3 linked regions of the Mus musculus genome follow. The protein of the gene in region 3 interacts with the protein of the main gene of each other region in a pairwise test. Links are inferred from orthologs where the notes say so. Each region holds a gene or a part of one and is shown on either strand. Other genes may lie near its edges.

Evidence for each region.
Region 1: the proteins of Fhl3 (region 3) and Mrpl27 interact in binary tests that used the Homo sapiens proteins (3 or more experiments, as listed by UniProt). The two-hybrid records come from large-scale screens. The link is inferred for Mus musculus from reciprocal best matches to the Homo sapiens genes FHL3 and MRPL27.
Region 2: the proteins of Fhl3 (region 3) and Saxo1 interact in binary tests that used the Homo sapiens proteins (3 or more experiments, as listed by UniProt). The two-hybrid records come from large-scale screens. The link is inferred for Mus musculus from reciprocal best matches to the Homo sapiens genes FHL3 and SAXO1.

The regions. Positions count from the first base shown.
Region 1 is NC_000077.6:94,652,269-94,657,096, reverse strand, and holds the start of Mrpl27 (39S ribosomal protein L27, mitochondrial), read right to left. Parts: upstream 3,307-4,828; 5' UTR 3,296-3,306; coding exon 3,256-3,295; intron 611-3,255; coding exon 479-610; intron 115-478; coding exon 47-114; intron 1-46.
Region 2 is NC_000070.6:86,554,998-86,559,789, reverse strand, and holds the start of Saxo1 (stabilizer of axonemal microtubules 1), read left to right. Parts: upstream 1-1,486; 5' UTR 1,487-1,774; coding exon 1,775-1,815; intron 1,816-4,792. UniProt on the Homo sapiens protein: May play a role in the regulation of cilium length. Stabilizes microtubules at low temperature.
Region 3 is NC_000070.6:124,706,267-124,709,627, forward strand, and holds the end of Fhl3 (four and a half LIM domains protein 3), read left to right. Parts: intron 1-987; coding exon 988-1,157; coding exon of another isoform or gene 1,158-1,183; intron 1,184-1,250; coding exon 1,251-1,464; intron 1,465-1,549; coding exon 1,550-1,704; 3' UTR 1,705-2,345; downstream 2,346-3,361. UniProt on the Homo sapiens protein: Recruited by SOX15 to FOXK1 promoters where it acts as a transcriptional coactivator of FOXK1.

The DNA.
Region 1 (4,828 bases), on a different chromosome or scaffold from region 3:
GCCCTAGGAAAGACAAGAAAGGGGGAGGGGGCAGAGAGCAACTCACATGGGCTCCCGGGTGCCATCTAAACTGACGCTGAGTGCCAAGGATGTTGCCAGCGTGAACGTAGTGACCTGAAAGAGAAGTCCACAGTGAGCCGACTCTGTGCCAGTGTTCACAGAAGCCCAGCAAAATGCTGACAAGTCATGGCAGCCCAAGGGTCCCCATCAAACCCCAAGCCTGCTCCTGGATAGACCACTAAGATGGCCCTACATAAACAGCACCTGACCCCAATCCAGCAGACTCTTTTTTGACTGCATGGCTAAGAAACTGCAACTCCCTGGGGTCCCTGCTCCTCCCATGTGGAGATGAGTGCCACAGTGAACTGCAGAGAGACAGGAGAGTGAGGCCCCTGAGTAGCATTTCTGCTCTTCTGAGAAAGGGCAGGGCAGCACTGTGGGCTGTGGCTTGAAAACAGTAAGGAAGGCACGCCCTCACCTTCCATTTTCTTGATGCCGTAGTGTTTGCCTCGTGATTTCCCACCAAGGTTCTTAGAGCTGCCACCTGTCTTCTTGGATGCATGTCTGACAGCGAGTGCTGTGGGTGCTGTGGGGCTCAGCAGGGCTGTCACTGCAGAGAAAGCGAAACCCTGCTCAGAGAGGCTCCCGAATGCAGTGCGCTTTCTTGTCTCTGTGGACCATTTGCCAAGCTGAGAAGCAGCGAGGGAGATGAGGAAAAATGAGAGATGTGTGAAAGGAACAGAGATGCTAAGTGTGTGGTGTTCAGGGAATGCCTGGGCAGGGAGCAATTCATCCCTGGAATTGGCCCAGAGGTAACCATGGTATGGCGGGTGGGTGGTGGTGGTGGTGGTCTGTGTATTAGGGAGAGCAGGCAGTGAGCATCACGGGGGGGGGGGGGGGGAGAGAACAGTCTATGCTCTGGCTCCTGACACATCCAGTCCAGCTGAGCAGAAACAAACAGCACAGAAACAGATGAAATGGACACCAGACAGCTGCCTGCTTAGAAGATTCAGTTTCCTGGCCAAGGGAAGGGCAGCGTACAAGATGTGCAAGGCTTGCCTCTGATTCCGCCTCCCTTACCACTGCCTTAGCTATCCACTCACCCATGCACATCAGACACTTGCCACTGTCTTAGCTATCCACTCACCCACTACACATCAGACACTTGCACCAGAAGGGCAGCCCGTCCGTCAGAGGGTGGCTCCCGCAGGCAACTGGCCATTACAGAAAGGTCTTTTTTTCCCAGAGTCCATAAGCAGATGTCCAACCAAGACTGGCATTAATCTGGGCCTCTCCACCCATTATCCCAAAGGACTCAACACCATTTTCTTTAAAGGGGGAAATTATGAGGGAGGCGTTGAAGGGGATAGAGATGATCAAAATACATTGTATGCATGAACAAAATTCTCAAAGATTAAATGAAAATGCTTTTAAAAGAAGATTATCTAAAATGCATGCTAATGGGGCCAGAGAGAGATGGCTCAGAGGTTAGCAGCAGCGACTGCTCTTGCAGAGGTCCTCTGTTCAGTTTCTAGCACTTTTGTAGTGGTCCACAGTCATCTGTAACTCCTGTTTCAGGGGATCCAATGGCCTTTTCTTACCTCTGCTGGTACCAAGTATACCGTGTGGTATGCATATATACACATAGGCAAAACATTCATACACAAAAATAAAATCCAGGCTGTCTGTTTTAGGTCTCTAGGCATAGTATAGGATCTTAGGATCTAGTATCAGCCCATTTAGAGTTGCTTTATGGGTGTTTGGGGGCATAGCACTGGTTATCTAGGTTTCTCAAATTCCCATAAGAACAGAAAGTTGCTGGGATACAAGACTAGCTCTCAGAGAGCAGGCTGGGCATGGTGGCACAGGCAAGCTTTTGATGCTAGCACTTGGGAGGCAGAGGCAGGCAGATCTCTGTGACAACAGGACCAGTTTGGTCTAGAGACTGAGTTCTAGGACAGCCAGGGCTTCATAGTGATACAGTGTCTCCAAACAAACAAACATCACAAAAAAAGAACTTAGGAGACATCTTCAATGTCCAGCAATGGAATGGAATCCCCTCCCCCCTCTCCTGTAGCCCATGAAGACCTTGAACTTGCAATCCTCAGGCCTTTACTTCACATATAACCGAGGTTACAGGCATGCACTTCCTGGCTTCACCCACTCACTTACTGGTGATTGGTGTTTTGCTTTTGCCTACATTGTTTCACTCATATGTCTCTGCTCTTGTGAAAAACAAGACTTTACAGATGACTCTCTTCCCTCATTTTACAGAGCAGTAAGACTTGTGGAATCTATATCTTCAGAACAGACAGATGTCATATTCACCCACTACCCTCCAGCTTCTCTACCAACACCACTAATATCTGGGCCAAATGATCTATCCTATAGCAAGTCTTGCAGATGGTTTTCTGTGTAGGTTATTTTATTTTATTTTATTTTATGTTATTTTATTTATTTATAGCTTTTGAGTCTGTGACCCAGGCTGGCCTTGGATCTGATGAAATCTTCCTGCCCCAGGCTCCTAAGTGCAGGGATTATAGGCACTACTATTCCTGGTCCCACTTGGTTTCATTTTCATTTATTTATTTGCACCCAGTCTGCCTCCTCTTAATTGGCTCCTCAAAACTGTAAAACCGAGTCAAGTCATTTTCTTGCCTTCTGTCTACACAGGTTTGGTTGGGTCTGTCTCTTTTAGGTCTAAATTGCTATCCCTTCAAGAGACTTCCTTGGTCCCCTAATCTAAGACTCTTCACAATACTATTCGAGATTACAACTAAGTTACTCACGTGTTTACTGGCTGAACTCACAAGGCGTTAGAAACCATGTTTATGCTGGTACTCTGAGCAGTGTCTCACCAGACCTAAGCGTTGGTCATGGTCATAGACATCTGAAATACCAGCTCTAAGACGGCAAACTACACAGTGGGAACCTACCTCAAAAGCGAGGAAAGGAAAAAAGCTAAGTCTTGAATATCAATTAAATGTTTTGAACTTAGTCTTCTTCAAATCCGGAGGGATCCACATAAACCCAGAGGGGACAGAGCTTCTGGAGTAACTATCCAACGGGCTTTCATTCTGCACTCCCACCCTCCGCAAGCACCGCCCACAACGTGTCACGTGACCGGAGACAGTCGCCCTCCAAAGGTCCGGAGCCCCTCACTTCTTCCCCGTATCTAGGTTCACCATGGGCTCCAGTTTCCATCTCCCAGCCTCCCTGCTGTCTCGCCTCGCAATAGCCACAGTGCTGAGCTACCTGCTGCCCGCGTCCTCAGCGTAAGCGCCGCCGCCGCCATATTTGCTTCACGTTCACTTCCAGGCTGGGAAGTCTGCTTCCGCTACCGGGATAGATCTACTTCCGGGTCTTGCGGACAATTCAAAGAGTGGCGGGAGCAGTAGCAGGTGAGCCCAGATCTCTTGGGGTTTATGGCCGGGACCTCCGGCGACTTCTGCAGTGGACCGTGGGCCCCAGAGACAAGGAGTGTGGCCAGCACGGACGTTTGTCCCACTCCAGGAACCACACGAAGGTCCCTAGGGAGGGACCAGGGTGAGGCTCAGCTAGATTCTGTGCTAGACTGGTTGTAGATGCACAATTTCATTTAATTCCTTACAAACCTAAGTTACTGGTATTATGTTAAATTGAGATCCAGGAAGACTGCAAAGATTATCAGTCACTAATTATTGTTGAAAGAATGATTCTTGCGTGTAACCCAGCAGTTCCAGGCAGACTTAAGTGTACGCACAAGAGAACTGTGAAAACATACTCGTTCAAAATATTTGTACGTGAATGTCTGTAGCAACATTATCCGTAACAGCCAAGAAAGGGGAGCAGGCTAACCGTCCATCAAGCAATAAATGCGTAAACAAAATGTGACATAGCCACACAGTGGAATATTATTCAGCTATAAAAAATGAGGCAGTACTGGTGCATAGTATGGCCACAGAAGGACCCTGAAAGCATGACTGCGAAAGACACCAGTCACCAAAGGCACATACGGTGTGCTTTTATGAAATATACAGAACCTGTAAATCCATAGAGACAATGGATCTTATTTTATTTTTAGATGCTGGGAGAGAGAAAGAACTTGTTTTTTTGTGTGTGGGGGCTTTTTTTTTTTTTCTTAATTTTTAAATAAATAAATAAATGCCAGGTGGTGGTGGCGCATGCCTTTAATCCCAGCACTTGGGAGGCAGAGGCAGGCGGATTTCTGAGTTCTCAGCCAGTCTGGTCTACAAAGTGAGTTCCAGGACAGCCAGGGCTATCTATACAGAGAAACCCTGTCTCAGAAAAAAAAAAAAAAAAAAAATGGTTATAGAAATACCCTTGCTTTTGAGAAGTCTCACTGTATCAAGTAGGCTGGCCTTGAACTCAAAATATCCCCCTCTGTAGCCTCCCAATAGGTGGGATTGCAGTTGTGTGCCAGCATGCCCAGTTTGTAGGATTTCTCTTTGTGATGATGGAGACATTCGGGAGTAAGAGGAGGGTAATGCTGACACAGCACAGACATACGGAGCCCCATCAGTCTGAGTGAATGATTTCTTTATCTGTTAACTGTACTAAGGCTGGGGCCTAACGTTCATGTAGGGCTCTCTATGTGCTAAGCAAGCACTCTACCGCTGCTACTCCAACACCTAAAGGATAGTTTTGAGTACTATACACTATGTGAATTGTAAGGGGAGTTTTTTCCTGTGTGTGGACATGAGCGTACATGGGTGTGTGCATAGGCATGCTTTCCACTGTGTGTAGGTTCTAGGAACTGAAATCCAACTAGGTGACATATGTTTTTGCTCACCGAGCCATCTGATTTACTTGCTTTTATTTGTCTATT
Region 2 (4,792 bases), about 38 Mb from region 3:
GATCAGTAAGTGGTATTCCTGTATGGGCCCTATCAACCAGGTACCAGTGGAATTCCAGCAGCTGGCAGTGGTTTGCTGACTTCGGTTTTTAGTCTGCGATGGAAGAAAGAACTCAGAGCACACAGCAGCTCAGCACTGCTGCAATCCATGACTCTTCAGACACTCGAAGCTCACACTGATAACATCAATTCCAGCTCTCTGGTCCACATGGTAGAAAGAGGAAACCAACTTCTCCAGGTTGTCTTCTGATCTCCACATGAGTCTTGGCCCACATGGCTCTCTTTACCCAGAACCTGCGATAAGCAAATGTAAAATAAAATAAAATAAAATAAAATAAATAAAAGCAACAAAAAGAAACAGTAATGTTTAAGTCCAAACATTCTCCTATAGTAGTAGACTGTATGGTATGCTACCGCACTTCTTTTGCTTGCTTTTGAGAAAGGGAGAGCCATGTAGCCCAGAACTTGCCTCCTTGCCCCAGATGCTGGAATTCTAGACTTGTGCTGCCACACCCAGCTCGAGAGCAGAGGCCCTTGACTTTGTTTTATTGTCAGAGTAAGCTGCTATCTTGTGAAAACACAATTCCCAGAATAGTTGTTTTCACTGCTTTGAAATAGAGTGAAGTCTCACTTTGTAGCCCAGGCTGGCCTTGACCTTGCAGCAACCCTCCTGCCTCAGTCTGTGCCGGGATCACAGGCTGAAGCCATCATGTGCTCTGACTGGTGGTTATTTGATACAGGAGATTCCAGGGCAGAGGTCTGCAGTGGTTTTCAGGACCGGCTTAGATATTAGGGAAGAGAGGTCAGAGGCCACAATAGAAGCTCCATAGCTGCGCTCCTTGAAGTGTGGGCTCTGGGCCAGCATCAGTAGCATCATTAAAAACTTGTAAGAGACACGTGTTTTCTGGAACCCATATTTCAGAAACAACAAACTCAGGGTGGGGTCTGGCAATCTGATTTTTGTCAAGCCTTGAGGTTCTGATGCTGCTAACATTTGAGACGTCCCTGCTTCTAGGCGTCATTACCTGAGCAATAGAGGGCTGGACCCTCTCATGCTGCTTTGTTCTCAAAAGCAGAGGCCTGTGGTTGAAAGCAATTCCAAGATGCAGGCAGCCAGGTATAGATTTTCCAGGAAGATCTGGAGATGGAATTCAGGGTCAATATTCTGGAGGTCCGGGCATGCATTTCCTCCAGACGGACAATGTGTCCTAGGGATGGAAAGTGCCACCCGACAAGATACTTTTCATTGTCTTTGCATTATGTGACCGTGCTGTTGGTTAACTCTGGGACTCGGAGGCTTCCTAAAGCCCTCCAAGGTATCTTCCATCTTCCTTCCAAGTTCCAGTGGGAGAGTCCCTGTCTTGGGTCTGCCAGGTGAGATACTAGGTGAAGTCTGACCTCACAGGAGGCCCTTATGATGTCATTGCCACCTCAAGATGCCCTCCTCTGTGACTTTGAAGGTCATAGAGGACTCAGTCCTGGGCCCTGTGGCTTGCAGGGGCCAGGCTGTGCTGGCAGGTGGGTGCTTCCCACTGGCCGCAGTGGCAGCAGCTTACAGACGTGAGCCGGCCTGGCTTGCTGTCTGTGCTAAGTGCTGCCTGTTTGCCCAAGGCCAGCCTCAGGAAAGGAATAGACTACAGAATTTTGCAAAAGGGCCACCTAAGTTTCCTTCTGAGCAAAACAGCATCGGTCAAGGCACCGAAGAAGTGTGATCGTTGTCCCAGGCAGCTGGGATCCTCTAGGCGATTGCCTTAGTGGAAAGTCCGAGGTGAAGGATGGGGAAGAGGACTTGCATCTGCAACCTGTGCTCCTGCGGGTAAGGTAGTCCTCCCAAGGGCAATCTGGGGAGGGGAGCCTGATTTTCACACTCCCTAGGGTGCCAAGCCCCTTTCCTGGAACGAAGACAGGATGTGTCTTCTTCATCCCGCTGCTTCGCTAGGCAGCATCGCACTGGATTCGGGTTTTAAACTGCAACATTGTTGACTAATATTTGATGCACACATGTCGAATCAGCGCTGATCAGGTAGTGTGTGTGTGTGTGTGTGTGTGTGTGTGTGTGTGTGCGCGTGTGTGTTTTCTGCAGGGTAGAGATTCAGGCACTTTGAGAGTGGGCTGGGCCCAGCCTTGTCTACATGCTGTTAAGACATGATGGAAACCCTGGACAGGCTGGGGCCGGTCTTGTTTCTTCTGTTGCAATTGTTAGAACAATAGTTCTTTTGTGTGGGTGAGTTTCTCACTTACAGAAATTGGTACTTTGGGAGCCATAGTGCACGGGCACCAACTGTTGCAGTGTTGAAATAAATAGCTAATCCAGGGGCGAGTTCGCTGTAGTTTTTGGGCAGGATGCCTTTCTGCCCCTTGTCTTCAGGGCCATGATGGTGCAAAGCACAGTGAAGGCAGGGTTTTGGAGAGGAACGTTGGGCTGCGGTCTCTGAGATGGTCCTTCTGGCTGCTTTGCCAGGACAGCTAGGGAACTGCAGGGCTGTGCCAGCCAGGGGATAGCAGAAGGGGCAGTACATAAACTTGCTTCCCAGGCTTCTGGCTAAGACCAAGTGAAAGGAGTGGCCTCGGGGACTAGCCCTCTGGGGTTGTCACTAAATGTGGGATCTGGGCTAGGAACCGAACGTCTCCCCATTCAAATTTCCCTAGGAATACTCTCCTCACAGGACTATTACAAGTGAAGGGATAGGGTGTATGTCTATGCACATGGATTCTATCTATTCTGTTAATACCCTAAGATCTGCAAAGGATTTTACAGCTACATATGTTACATGAAATAACAAAATTATTGTATTTGGGAGAATAGGTTAAGAGGACACTCTGAAAACAGAAGACTTTGAATTCTCAGGAATCAGTGCTCATTAGAGTGGACTGGGAACTTTAAAATAGGTGTCATTGCTCCAGCTGTTCATGAGCAATCTCTAAGGACAGTCCCATCAGCAGACTCCAGATAGATACTGCCATTTCCCAGAATTCTGAGCTCTGCTACCTACAAGTGTGGCTCTTGTTTTCGAGGTTTGTCAGGTGGGACCAGCCAGTGTCCAGGGCTAATTTTTCATACTACCGAACATTCAGTTTGTTTTTTTTTTCTAAGACTTTGCTTCCTTGTGGGGCCTTTTGCATCACTCCTGGCTCCATCTCTGCTCTCAGAAGAGTGGGGTTGAAGTCTTTGAGTCCCATCTTTGCACAGTATGTAGTCTAGGAAGACGGGGACTCATCAGGGGTGAGGAACGTAGAGTCAGATGACACCTCCATTCCTATCTGATGTCCTCAGATTCTCTTTTTCCCCCACCCTGCAAAGTTGCTCCTTCCACTGGATATAAAGTCTTTCTGGCATGCCTTCCTTGCCTCCCCCTCCTGTGTCTACTTTACGGTTCTGTCACGTGCCTTGGGTCTGACTCTCATGTTGGTCAGTCTTCCCTCCTGCCTGCTTAGTCTATTTTAGTTTTTTTTTTTTTCCTGTGATTTTGATGGGGCATCTCAGAGTTCAAAGCAAACTTTTTGGTCTCCACTCATGGTTCCTTTGTCTTGCTTTTTTCCCCTTTTTGAAAATGCGTCTACCTTCTTCTGCCTCCTAACCTTTTAAGATCTTGCTCATGTTATAAGACTCCCGTCTGGCTCAGTCCTATAGACCCCACCTAGTACAGAGGTAGGACCCCACTTCCTATGGTCTTTTAGCTATGTGTATGCCAGCTTCATATCTAGTGATGGTGTGCTCTGGAACAGCCAAGCTCTGTTTTTGTATGCTTTGTGATACTGACCTGTTGAGTAGTCAGAACACACCTTTGTAGGATGGTGGTGGGATCTGTGGAGTCCGTTAGGGACATACAATCTGGAGTGGTGCTGTCTCCAGTGCTTGCCACATGATGCCATTTTACTTCAGTGAATTACAATTGAGGGCTTCCCCAACTTCCTCCAGCCACTTGAGGGCTGGAGAACTATTTTAGTAGCTAAGAGCATTGTCTGCTCTTCCAAAAGACCCCGGATCAGCCTGGCCTGGGACACACTGTGTATAACTGGGAACTTCTGTTTCTTCTGTTTCCATTTCCCAAGTCCTGGGATTAGAGGCCCATATTACTATTCCCAGCGTTTCTTTGGCTTTTGAGTTTTGTTATGTAGTCCAGGTTAGCCTTCAACTCATGATTCTCCTGCTTCAGCCCTGCTGCTGCCAGGATTGTAGGCATGTGTCACCATGGCTAGCTCCTTAAATATGATCTCACCTGTAGTACATGATACTCATCAGTGGGGGAAGGCCTCTATTTTTGGACATCAGTGGGAAGAGCAGCCCTTGGTCCTGTGGGAGTTTGATGCCCCAGTGTAGGGGAATGCCAGGACTGGAAAGCGGGAGTGAGTGGGTAGGTGGGGGAGCACCCTCATAGAGGCAGGGGAGGAGGGATGGGATGGGGGAGAGACCTGGAAAGGGGATAACATTTGAAATGTAAATAAAGAAAATATCCAATAAAAGAAAAAAAAATTGAAAAACAAAACAGTCTTTCTGCTGGGAACTAGCTGCTAAAGAGCAAGTTCTTAAGTTTGACCACCAGATGGCAGTGTTTTCTCAGTCAATCCTCATAGACGCGTCAGCTGGTCTAACAAATCCTTTGGGGTTCAGAAGTTTACTTGAATTTTATTTTTATTTTTTTATTTTTTTTAAAAATAGGTTTACTTTAAGTTTTCTAAAATGAGCAATTAGTTAGTGTTTCGGGCTCAGCATAGCCGAGGAAGGTGTTATTCCTTAAGGAGCTGAACATAGAATGAAAGTGTTTCAAATACCGTACCACCAAAGATTCTAA
Region 3 (3,361 bases):
GGCAAGTACCAAAGGTGTATTGGACCAGTAGGCCTAGTGAACACATAAGGACTCAACAGATGCATAGCGGCTGGTGTATCGGACCAGTAGGCCTAGTGAACACATAAGGACTCAACAGATGCATAGCGGTTGGCATGCTTGCTACACATGGGCGTTAGCGTGTGTGTGTGTGTGTGTGTGTGTGTGTGTGTGTGTGTGTGTGTGTAGACCCACATGTTTGGTGTACTGAGATTCTCCGGCTTGCCGCATTGACATTTTGGGGGCAGAGATTAAACTATAGGCTTCAAATGTATGGTGACCTTAATGCATGTGGGGATTTAGCATGTGTAGAATGATAGACCTAGAATATGCAAAGGCTTAGTGTGTACTGAACATGTCATACCCAGGGCATTAGGCTTTGTGTAGGCGGTTGCCTGGTTAGTGGGATCTTGCGTGAGTGTTATACTGGTAGTTCTGGTACTTAATGGCTTATTTAACATGTACTGGAACAACACAGAGGCTTGGCATATGTTAAGATAGTATTGTCAGAGTTCAAGACCAGCCTGGTCTATAGAGTGAGTTCCAGGACAGCCAGAGCTATACAGAGAAACCCTGTCTCGGAAAAAAAAAAAAAAAAAATAGTAGTGTCAAAGACATGGAGTTTTAACATGTGTGCTTAGCATGTGCTGTACCATCTTGCAAGTTTGAGGGGAGAGGTTGGCGTATGTAACATACATGGTAGTAGTAAGTGTGTATGTATGTATTTTGGTTTGGTTTTTTGAGACAGGGAGCCCTGGCTGTCCTGGAGCTCACTCTGTAGACCAGGCTGGCCTCGAACTCAGAAATCCGCTTGCCTTTGCCTCCAGAGTGCTGGGATTAAAGGCATGCGCCACCACTGCCCGGCTCATGGTAGTAGTCTTGCTTGGTGTCCATGGCTACAACTCTACTTGGCAGAGTGGCCCTCTCGAGTTTGGGCCAGAGTCTAAGTGGGATTCCTGTTCCCCACAGGGTCCCGGAAGCTGGAGTATGGAGGCCAGACGTGGCATGAACACTGCTTTCTGTGCAGTGGCTGTGAGCAGCCGCTGGGCTCCCGCTCCTTCGTGCCTGACAAGGGTGCCCACTACTGCGTGCCTTGCTATGAGAACAAATTTGCTCCTCGGTGTGCCCGCTGCAGCAAGGTTGGGGCTGGGCCTGGGAATTCAGGGTAAGACCTGTTGTGGGTGGGAGTCCTCACCCCGCCCTGCCCCTGCTGATGGATGATGTCCCCACAGACGCTGACCCAGGGTGGAGTGACATATCGTGATCAGCCCTGGCACCGAGAGTGCCTGGTCTGCACTGGGTGCAAGACGCCCCTTGCAGGGCAGCAGTTCACATCTCGGGATGATGATCCTTACTGTGTGGCCTGCTTTGGAGAACTCTTTGCACCCAAGTGCAGCAGCTGCAAGCGCCCCATCACAGGTGGGAGCGGCGGCGGCGAGGGCGCAGGTAAGAGTTCGGATGTAACACGGGTGAGGTTAAGGGGCAGCAGTGGCCCCCAGACCTGCAGAGCTAACCTCCAGCCTTCCTCCAGGACTCGGTGGAGGCAAGTATGTGTCCTTCGAAGACCGACATTGGCACCACAGCTGCTTTTCCTGTGCCCGCTGCTCCACCTCCCTGGTGGGCCAAGGCTTTGTACCAGACGGAGATCAAGTTCTATGCCAGGGCTGCAGCCAAGCAGGCCCCTGAGTGGAGGATCCTGACTCTCCTCTTTCCCAAACCAAGAGTTCAAGACTTTGGCGCCTTTTCTGAACCACTTCTGGGGCCCAACCCCTCCCTAGAACGGGCCCTCCCCCAACCCCCGCTCCCCACTCATTGGGACTTCAGGATTCAGTCACCCAATTTTAACACACCCCAGTGGTACTCCCCGACCCAGGCCCCCAAATCTGGGCTGTTGTGGAACACCCATGACTTAAGCCTTTCTCCAAGTCTGGATTCCAGAAATGTTCCCCACATCAAGGCTCTGACACCCCAGCCCTCCAAACCTGAACTCTGAGGCCTAGGCCTCTTTAAGTCAAGACTTCTAGGGTAGATTTTTTTTTTTTTTTTTTTTTTTTTTTTTTTTTTTTTTAGTTTTTCTGCAGGTGCCTAAGAAGTCTTCAAAAATAGATTGTACACCCGGTTTGACCTCACCCCCATCCCACTGCTCTCTCTGAGCTGCAGCTGTATGTATAGCAGATTAGGGGCTCCCTGGTTAGAGGGTTGTAAGGTACAGGGTGCTGTCCAGCCTCTGAGTACCATGTTATTTCAGCTCCATGTTGCCCTGCAACAGGAAGCAGGAAGGTTGCTCGCCCTGTTTCCAGAGATTGCAATAAAGCAGTGTGAGGGGAGCACGGGCCCCGTGTATTTGTCGAGAGGATGAAGGAAGGTTGCGTGGCTGAGTCAGGCTTTTGAAACCTCCTAGTGGGCGGGCCGTGGGGTGGGGATTCTCCCCAGGAAGAGGATCCCCTCTGGCAGCCACGCGGGTCCCTCTTGAGCTTGGCCAACCTCCCCACTGCTGGCGGAGGACTTTTTCCTCTGTGAGCAAGGGAGGGATTGGGAGAGGTGCCAGACAGAGCCGAGAGGCAGTGGGTTTCTAGGTCTGGTACACATCTTCCCCCACCCCCACCAGCCCTGCCTCAACCCGACGTACAAGCACCGAGTTCTGATACCCAGTTGGGCCCAGACCCTCACCCCTTCCCCCCTCTTCCCAAGGATTAGTGGGGGCGGCTCAGGATCCGCTCGCGGCCGCACGTTTTTTTGCCAAAAAAGGCAAGGAAGCAGCTGCACGCGCCGGGAGAACATCTGGATCCGATTCCCAGCATGAATGGGTCATGGCCCCGCCTCTCGTGATTCACTGGCGGGGGCGGGAGTGAGCCGGAGGGCTGTCCCCTGAAGTGGGGCGATGGGGCGGAGCACTCCCCTGCTGGACGCCCTAGCCTGGCCGCTGGCTCTGCGGTTGAACTGAGGCGGCAGGTATGCGCCTGGGTGGCTGAGGCAGTCTCTGGAGGCGGAGACGCAGGGGTGGAGGGAGAAAGGGGGCCCGTCAAGAGGAAACAGTGAAAGTGTAGAACCTCCAGAAACCCTCCCTAACCTTGGGCCGGCCTTCTCAGAGGTGTAGACTCCTGGAGTCATCTGCCCAAGATCGTAATGACAATCACTTGAAGATCCAGATACTGACAGACAGCCTTTGGCCTTGGCTGGGTGAGGAGTAGGGTCTAATTGTATGGTCCAGGCTGATCCTCCTGCCTCAGCCTCCAGAAAGGTAGGCTGACAGGTGTGAATCAACCAGTAAGCTCAGAAAACAAACAAAAAACCAAAGGTGTCGAGCACGTGTGTGTGTGTGTGTGTGTGTGTGTGTGTGTGT